Macaca fascicularis: one gene and its partner. Each later gene encodes a partner of the first gene's protein in a complex. Links are inferred from orthologs where the notes say so. Each region holds a gene or a part of one and is shown on either strand. Other genes may lie near its edges. The genes, in order: NCOA6 and KDM6A.

Region 1 (4,405 bases):
TAATCTCTAACTGAAAATTATTATTCTATTCAAATTTAAGTGTAGGTAACATACCATTCTAGTATTAGCAGTATCTATGACTCTGTAACAACAGAAATCTCAAATATCTTTATATCATACTACAGTTGTTGCGTATAATCTTGAAGTAGGCTTTATGCGCATCATGTCTTTGAAATTGTAATTATCAGATCCATCACTAAATCTGATTTCTTAATGTGCTGATAAACAAGTATATGAGGCCGGGCGCGGTGGCTCAAGCCTGTAATCCCAGCACTTTGGGAGGCCGAGACGAGCGGATCACGAGGTCAGGAGATCGAGACCATCCTGGCTAACACGGTGAAACACCGTCTCTACTAAAAAGTACAAAAAACTAGCCGGGCGAGGTGGCGGGCGCCTGTAGTCCCAGCTACTCCGGAGGCTGAGCCAGGAGAATGGCGTAAACCCGGGAGGCGGAGCTTGCAGTGAGCAGAGATCCGGCCACCGCACTCCAGCCTGGGTGACAGAGCGAGACTCCGTCTCAAAAAAAAAAAAAAAAAAACAAGTATATGAATATTAGATTTGTATATGTTGGAAACTATATTTCCATATAATTGGTGTTCCTTATAATTCAATGTACTTTATTTTATACAACTAAAAAATATTATTCTGAAAGGGGTCCATGGCACAGATAAGGTCAGGTCTTCCTTCATTAGAAAAACCCAGGTGGCTCACGCCTGTAATCCCAGCATTTTGGGAGGCCGAGGTGGGCAGATCACTTGAGCTAAGGAGCTCAAGACCAGCCTGAGCAACATGTTGAAATCCCATCTCCACAAATTAAAAAAAAAAAAGAAAAGAAAAACCCAGAACAAATGAATTGTGTTGCAGTATATACATATGGTATTGACAATCTTATTTTATATTTGCCCTCATAACCTTTCTGTTCATTAATTCTCTTTGATTATATGGGGCCCTGGACCTATTTTCCATGACTAGTTTGCATATTTCCTTCAGAACTCTCCCATAGCCCACGCGAACTTTGAATTTTTCTCTAACATGATCCAACTTCAATTAACAAAATAGACACTCTGGGTCTTTACAATTTTTCACTTTTCTTTTTTAGGATTTTGTGTCCCTTTGTGGTAAACACCTAGAAGAGAAGAAGTATTTCTTTTTTCTTTTTTTTTTTTTAGACAGTGTCTTACTCTGTAATCCAGGCTGGAATATCATGGAACGATCACAGCACGGCTCATTGCAGCCTTGGCCTCCCAGGCTCAAGCGATCCTTCCACCTCAGCCTCCTGAGTGGCTGGGACTAAAAGTACAAGCCACATCAGGTGGCTAATTTTTTTTATTTTTTTGTAGAGATGGGGTCTCCCAGCTCCTGGGCTCAAGCAATCCTCCCGCCTTGGCCTCCCAAAGTGCTGGGATTACAGGCATGAGCCACTATGGCTGGCCGGAGCATCTCTTAAAACTCTACAAAGTTAGAAGGTCTCAAAGACAACAACTTTGCACAATTAGAGATGAGCCAGGAAATACCAAAAAACTGGCTGCCTACCCTCTTTTGTATTCCCTTCAGCCTTTGTATTGCCAAAGTCATTAAAGGAACAAAACAAATTTAATAGTTATCTGGTATATACTGTTACGCTTCACTTCTTATTGTTTTTGTTTGTTTGCTTTTAGTTTCATCACAAGAATGTTATGGTTCATTTCTTAACACCTTTCTCCCAGCTAGCAAACTCCTTTAAGGCAATGTGTTTAGTGAGCAGGCAGCTGACCATTTCCAGTAGACCCTCTGCTACTAACTTGTAAGATCTTGAAAAGTCAACTTTACCTTTCTGTTTCAGCTAAAATCACTACCTGATTTGAAATCTTTACTTGATCTCTCAGGCCTTTGTAGTTTTTATACATTCACTCTTCTTCACCATTTTACTGGCTTCAATAACGCCTTTCGGATGACCTCTCCAGGTGACCCTGCTCTTAAGCTGTGGGCTGTCCCCTTCCAGGGAAGACACCTTGGGTCACCGCCCCCAAACAGCCGGGTCCCTCCTTTTAAAGACACACACAATTCCCTAAGTTGATAAAGGTTCTTTCCTTTCTTGCCAACCAGTTCCACTCTCTGTGCCTCTTTTGCCGGTCAGCTCCTGCACCCAAACCTCAGTCCCCTTTTGTCCCCCTTTTCTCTCATCAAACACCTCCTTTTTCCTGTTGCTTCCCCCAATAGGGGGTGGAGGATGCTTGGAACGTAAGTCTTCAGAGCCTTGGGAGTTATACAGCTTTGCAAATCAGCCCCAGTACCCCAAGGACTGCCCCAATCTGATACCAGCGTCTGTACCCAAAGGGCCCTCATTCCTCATCCATCACCTCCTTCCCTCCCCGCAAAGAACTGCTCCAGCCCTGACAGCCTAAGCTTGGCCCCCATGCCTCCACCCCAATCACCAGGTTCTACCTGCACTAGTGCCCTAAGCCCGCCTAAGGCCTAACCCAGTTCCACGTCCTGCCATCCTCTCAGCCCATGGACCCCAATCCTGGTTCCTTTCGGATCCAGTGTTCCTTCTCCACGACCCTGACCACGACCCCACTACTGGCTCCCGCCTGTTCCCCGGGCCTGGAGCGCCACCCCGTGCAGACCCCGGCCAGCCCTGCACTCCCTCAGTGCGCCGGCCCCAGCGCCCAGCACCCTCCCCACCCCGCCGGGCCGCCGCTCCCTCCAGCGCCCCCGCCCGCAGGCCTGGGGCCCGCTCCCCAACATGGCGACGGGGACATAAGCGCGGCGGGCGGGGCGGCTCCGGGCCGGGCCCGCACTCAGACCGTGCCACTCGGTCGCCCGGCGCCATTTTCCCGCGCCGGGCCCGGGCGGCGCCTCCTCCCCGCGAAGCCAGCCCGACAAGGACCGCGGACACCCGGCGGGCCCACCCCTTACGGGCCCGCGCCGCCGTCGTCTCACCTGAGCGCGGCCCCAGCCCTCCCGGGCGGGCCTTGGAGCGCCAGCCCCGGCCGTGCGTGCCCGCCGCCCTCCGTGCGTCCGTCCGTCAGTCCTCGCGTGCGCCCGTCTGTCCGGCCACCCGCGCCCGGCCGCCCGCAGCCCGACCCGGCAGGGCCTCACCGAGCCGGCGGGGAGGGGGATGGGCCGGACCGGGCCGGGGAGGGAGGGGGAGGGAGGGAAAGAGGGAGGGAGCGCCAGAGGGGGCGGGGCGGACTCGAGGGGCGGGGCATTGCCCACGTGACCAGACGTCCCCGGGAGCGCGAGGTGGAGTGCGCGCCAGCTCGCTTGGGTGCTGTGAGCTTAATGCTGGGATCTCGTGGGTTTCTGTCGGCTTCCCAGTGCTATTCTCTCGCCAGTGAGTCCCGCTGGGGAAACACACACCGAACAGCCTTTTGCGAGCGCACTGAGTATCCTTGGAAATGGCAACTCCAAACCTCAGTTTACCCATCTGAAATATGGGGAAAATCATAGTTCTTGTGAGGAGGAAATGGAGGTAGGCATGGAAGGCACTTGTCACCGTGCCTGACACATAGTGTCTAATAATAAGCTTAATGGGATATAGATAAAAGCTTTCACTATTATTTGCCTCTAAATCCCTCTCTTCTTTTTCCCATCATTACCTCCCTAGCAAGCTAAAATGCTCAGGAAATAGAATTATTGATCGAACGAGTGTGGCCCCTCCCCACTTCCCAAATGTAGAAAGGCCTCCTCAGCACTGGCCTTGACGTCTGTCATACAGGCCTGGATTCATATCTGGCTTTCACTCTTTTTTTTAAATTTTTTGGGCCGGGCGCGGTGGCTCAAGCCTGTAATCCCAGCACTTTGGGAGGCCGAGACGGGCGGATCACGAGGTCAGGAGATCGGGACCATCCTGGCTAACACGGTGAAACCCCGTCTCTACTAAAAAATACAAAAAACTAGCCGGGCGTGGTGGCGGGCGCCTGTAGTCCCAGCTACTCGGGAGGCTGTGGCAGGAGAATGGCGTAAACCCGGGAGGCGGAGCTTGCAGTGAGCTGAGATCCAGCCACTGCACTCCAGCCTGGGCGACAGAGCGAGACCACGTCTCAAAAAAAAAAAAAAATTTTTGTTTTTGTTTTCTTTTTTCCCACACTACACTGATGTATTTTTTAAATTTTTGTAAGTACGTAGTAGGTGAATATATTTATGGGGTACATGAGATTTTGATACAGGCATACATCATGTAATAATCACATCATGGTAAATGGGGTATCTAGCACCTCAAGCATTTATCCTTTGTGTTACAAACAACCCAATTACACTCTAGTTATTTTAAAATGTACAGCTAAATTGTGTGTGTGTGGTTTTTGTGTTTTTTTTTTTTTTTGAGACAGTCTCACTATGTCGCCCAGGCTGAAGTGCAGTGGCGCGATCTCGGCTCACTGTAACCTCCGCCTCCCTGTTTCAAGGGATTCTCCTGCCTCAG
Region 2 (2,994 bases), on another chromosome or scaffold:
ACCTGGTCTGTTAAAGAGTCTCAAACACAGCCATGTTTTTCTTACCACCTACTCTTAACCAGAGATCACTGTCCACAATTTCATTCAAGTAGAATTCCATGATTATACTAAAGCAGTACAGTGAATACCACCATCTCTATTGAATACGTTTTTCTCTTGTATAAAACAGGTGGAGGTTTTTGATTTGCTTTTTGTCACTAATGAGAGTAATTCACGAAAGACCTACATAGTACATTGCCAAGATTGTGCACGAAAAACAAGCGGAAACCTGGAAAACTTTGTGGTGCTAGAACAGTACAAAATGGAGGACCTGATGCAAGTCTATGACCAATTTACATTAGTAAGTCAAATCAACATGTGAGTACATAGTTAGCTGGGTTATGAAGCAGCAGTGTTTGTTCTGCCACCTGATAAGTAGGAGGTAATGAAATATTTTAAATTTCCCTTTGGCTCATTACATATTGCATGAGGGTGTATTCATATCATTCCCCCCTCCATTTCCAAGTATTTATTCCTATAAAATTGGCATATATCATTTTCAGTTTTCTTCCTGGGTAAGACCAGCCTAAATAATTTTACAACAATTACATTTAAAAATCTTCACGTGCTTTAGATGGAACACTATCATATCCTTTATGTCATTTTATCTCAGTTGATAAGTTGATAAAATGTTTGTGTACGTAGGTTATTAGAGCCCACAAAATGAATCAGTAAATGTGCTTTTAAATATACTTCTGCTTTTAGAGCTAATTGTATTTGTTTAAAATTTTGTCCTTGCCAGAAGTATTAACCTCATGGGAATATTTAATGGAGCTTAACTTCCTGGTATGTTATATAACCTTATGAAATTCAAGTATACTTATAAATTGCACACAGTTTTTAATTTCAGACAGCAGATGCTTGGGGGAAGCATTTTACTTTAGCAGATCAATAGCTTTATGAATAGAAACAGAGATAATTTATGAATTGTTGATTTTCTCCAGTACTTGTCTCCCACACATATGTGATCAGAAACTAACTTTTTGAAATTTAGTTTCTGATATTTTCACTTGAATAGTCTTCAAGATTGCTTGAAGAAGAAAATTATCTGGACTATGTTGAAGAAAATATATTACCTAGCTGAGATAGATTCTGAAGACAGTCACTAGTGAAATTGTAACTTGTTAAATTATTTTTCAAGAAGCCCCCCTTTTTTTAAGCAATCTTAAGAAACGGTAAACTTAATAACATTCCAAGAGTTTTTGACTAATTGGTGAAGAAATATAGAAAATTGCAAGTACGCTGAGTAGGATAATGGTCTTAGACTCTTAGGAAAATTGGCTGAATGGGAGATAGTAAGGTAGGTTGTACTTTTATGTTGTGTAGCAGGCTGGTGAACTTTTTGAGAGTTATTTCCCCTGACTTCATAAGCAGACTATATGTTTGTAGCCATGAGCTATTAACAATTTGTATATCAAAATAACCTACCTTACTTTTATTTTCAGGCTCCTCCATTACCATCCGCCTCATCTTGATATTGTTCCATGGACATTAAATGAGACCTTTTCTGCTATTCAGGAAATAACCCACTTCTGCACCACTGGTTTTTGTAGCTATCTCGTAAGGCTGCTGGCTGAAAACTGTGTCTATGCAACCTTCCAAGTGCGGAGTGTCAACCAGCTGGACGGGAGAGAGTACTGTTCCTACTCCAGGACTCTCACAAAGCTCATCAGCTGTACTTCACAAAAAAATAATAATTTCCATGTTTTGTATATATCTGACAAAACTGGCAACATCTTACAGACTACTGACTTGAAGACAACCTCTTTTATATTTCTCTATTTCTGGGCTGATGAATTTGTTTTCATCTGTCTTTTCCCCCTTCAGAATTTTCCTTGGAAAAAAAATACTAGCCTAGCTGGTCATTTCTTTGTAAGGTAGTTAGCAATTTTAAGTCTTTCTTTGGTCAACTTTTTTTTAATGTGAAAAGTTAGGTAAGACACTTTTTTACTGCTTTTATGTTTTTCTGTCTTGTTTTGAGACCATAATGGTTACACTTTTGGTTCCTAAATAAAACATTAAAAAAATTAACAGCCAAGTCACAAAGGTAATGGATTGCACATAGACTAAGGAATAAACTTCAGATTTGTGATTTTTGTTTCTAATCTTGATGTAAATTTACACTATTTATAAATACATATTTATTGCTTGAAAATATTTGTGAATGGAATGCTGTTATTTTTTCCAGATTTACCTGCCATTGAAATTTTAAGGAGTTCTGTAATTTCAAACACTACTCCTATTACATTTTCTATGTGTAAATAAAACTGCTTAGCATTGTACAGAAACTTTTATTAAAATTGTTTAATGTTTAAAGAGTTTTCTATTGTTTGAGTTTTAAAAAGACTTTATGTACAGTGCCCAGTTTTTGTTCATTTTTGAAATCTGATTATATATATTTTATATATACTTATGTATGTATATATAATATATATAGAAATCTGGATATATATGTATAAATATTTAGAACTTAAATTTTTCTCGTTTTAAGTTTCACATCTATGGTAGATTTTTGAGGTGTCTACTGTAAAGTATTGCTTACAAAAAGTATGATTATTTTTAAAGAAATATATATGGTATGTATCCTCAAGACCTAAAATGTCAGACTGGTTTATTGTTAAGTTGCAATTACTGCAATGACAGACCAATAAACAATTGCTGCCAAAATGTAGTATAATAGTAGAAAACAAATAGTGATTGAACTTAAGATTTTAAAAGGAATGTTATATGGGCTTGACAAATCCTGTACATGACTTAGTAACATTTTATATGGAAAAGGGGATTCAGGATGAAGGGCTCTATTTTAGAATGAAAATAAATTAAGAGACTTATTTTTTAATGTTAGGCAATTTTGAAATCTCATGCTTTTTTGCTTGCATGACATGATTTGGGGGAGGAGTGCTGCAAATTCCCCATCACTAGTAAAATATAGCAATCTATATTAGCGTTCACAAG

What was found.
Region 2: NCOA6 (region 1) and KDM6A share a complex: the UniProt entries of both Homo sapiens proteins name them as parts of the MLL2/3 complex. The link is inferred for Macaca fascicularis from reciprocal best matches to the Homo sapiens genes NCOA6 and KDM6A.

What each region holds. Positions count from the first base shown.
Region 1 is NC_088384.1:90,870,756-90,875,160, forward strand, and holds the start of NCOA6 (nuclear receptor coactivator 6), read right to left. Parts: upstream 3,108-4,405; 5' UTR 2,923-3,107; intron 1-2,922. UniProt on the Homo sapiens protein: Nuclear receptor coactivator that directly binds nuclear receptors and stimulates the transcriptional activities in a hormone-dependent fashion. Coactivates expression in an agonist- and AF2-dependent manner.
Region 2 is NC_088395.1:45,166,014-45,169,007, forward strand, and holds the end of KDM6A (lysine-specific demethylase 6A), read left to right. Parts: intron 1-169; coding exon 170-340; intron 341-1,484; coding exon 1,485-1,514; 3' UTR 1,515-2,355; downstream 2,356-2,994. UniProt on the Homo sapiens protein: Histone demethylase that specifically demethylates 'Lys-27' of histone H3, thereby playing a central role in histone code. Demethylates trimethylated and dimethylated but not monomethylated H3 'Lys-27'.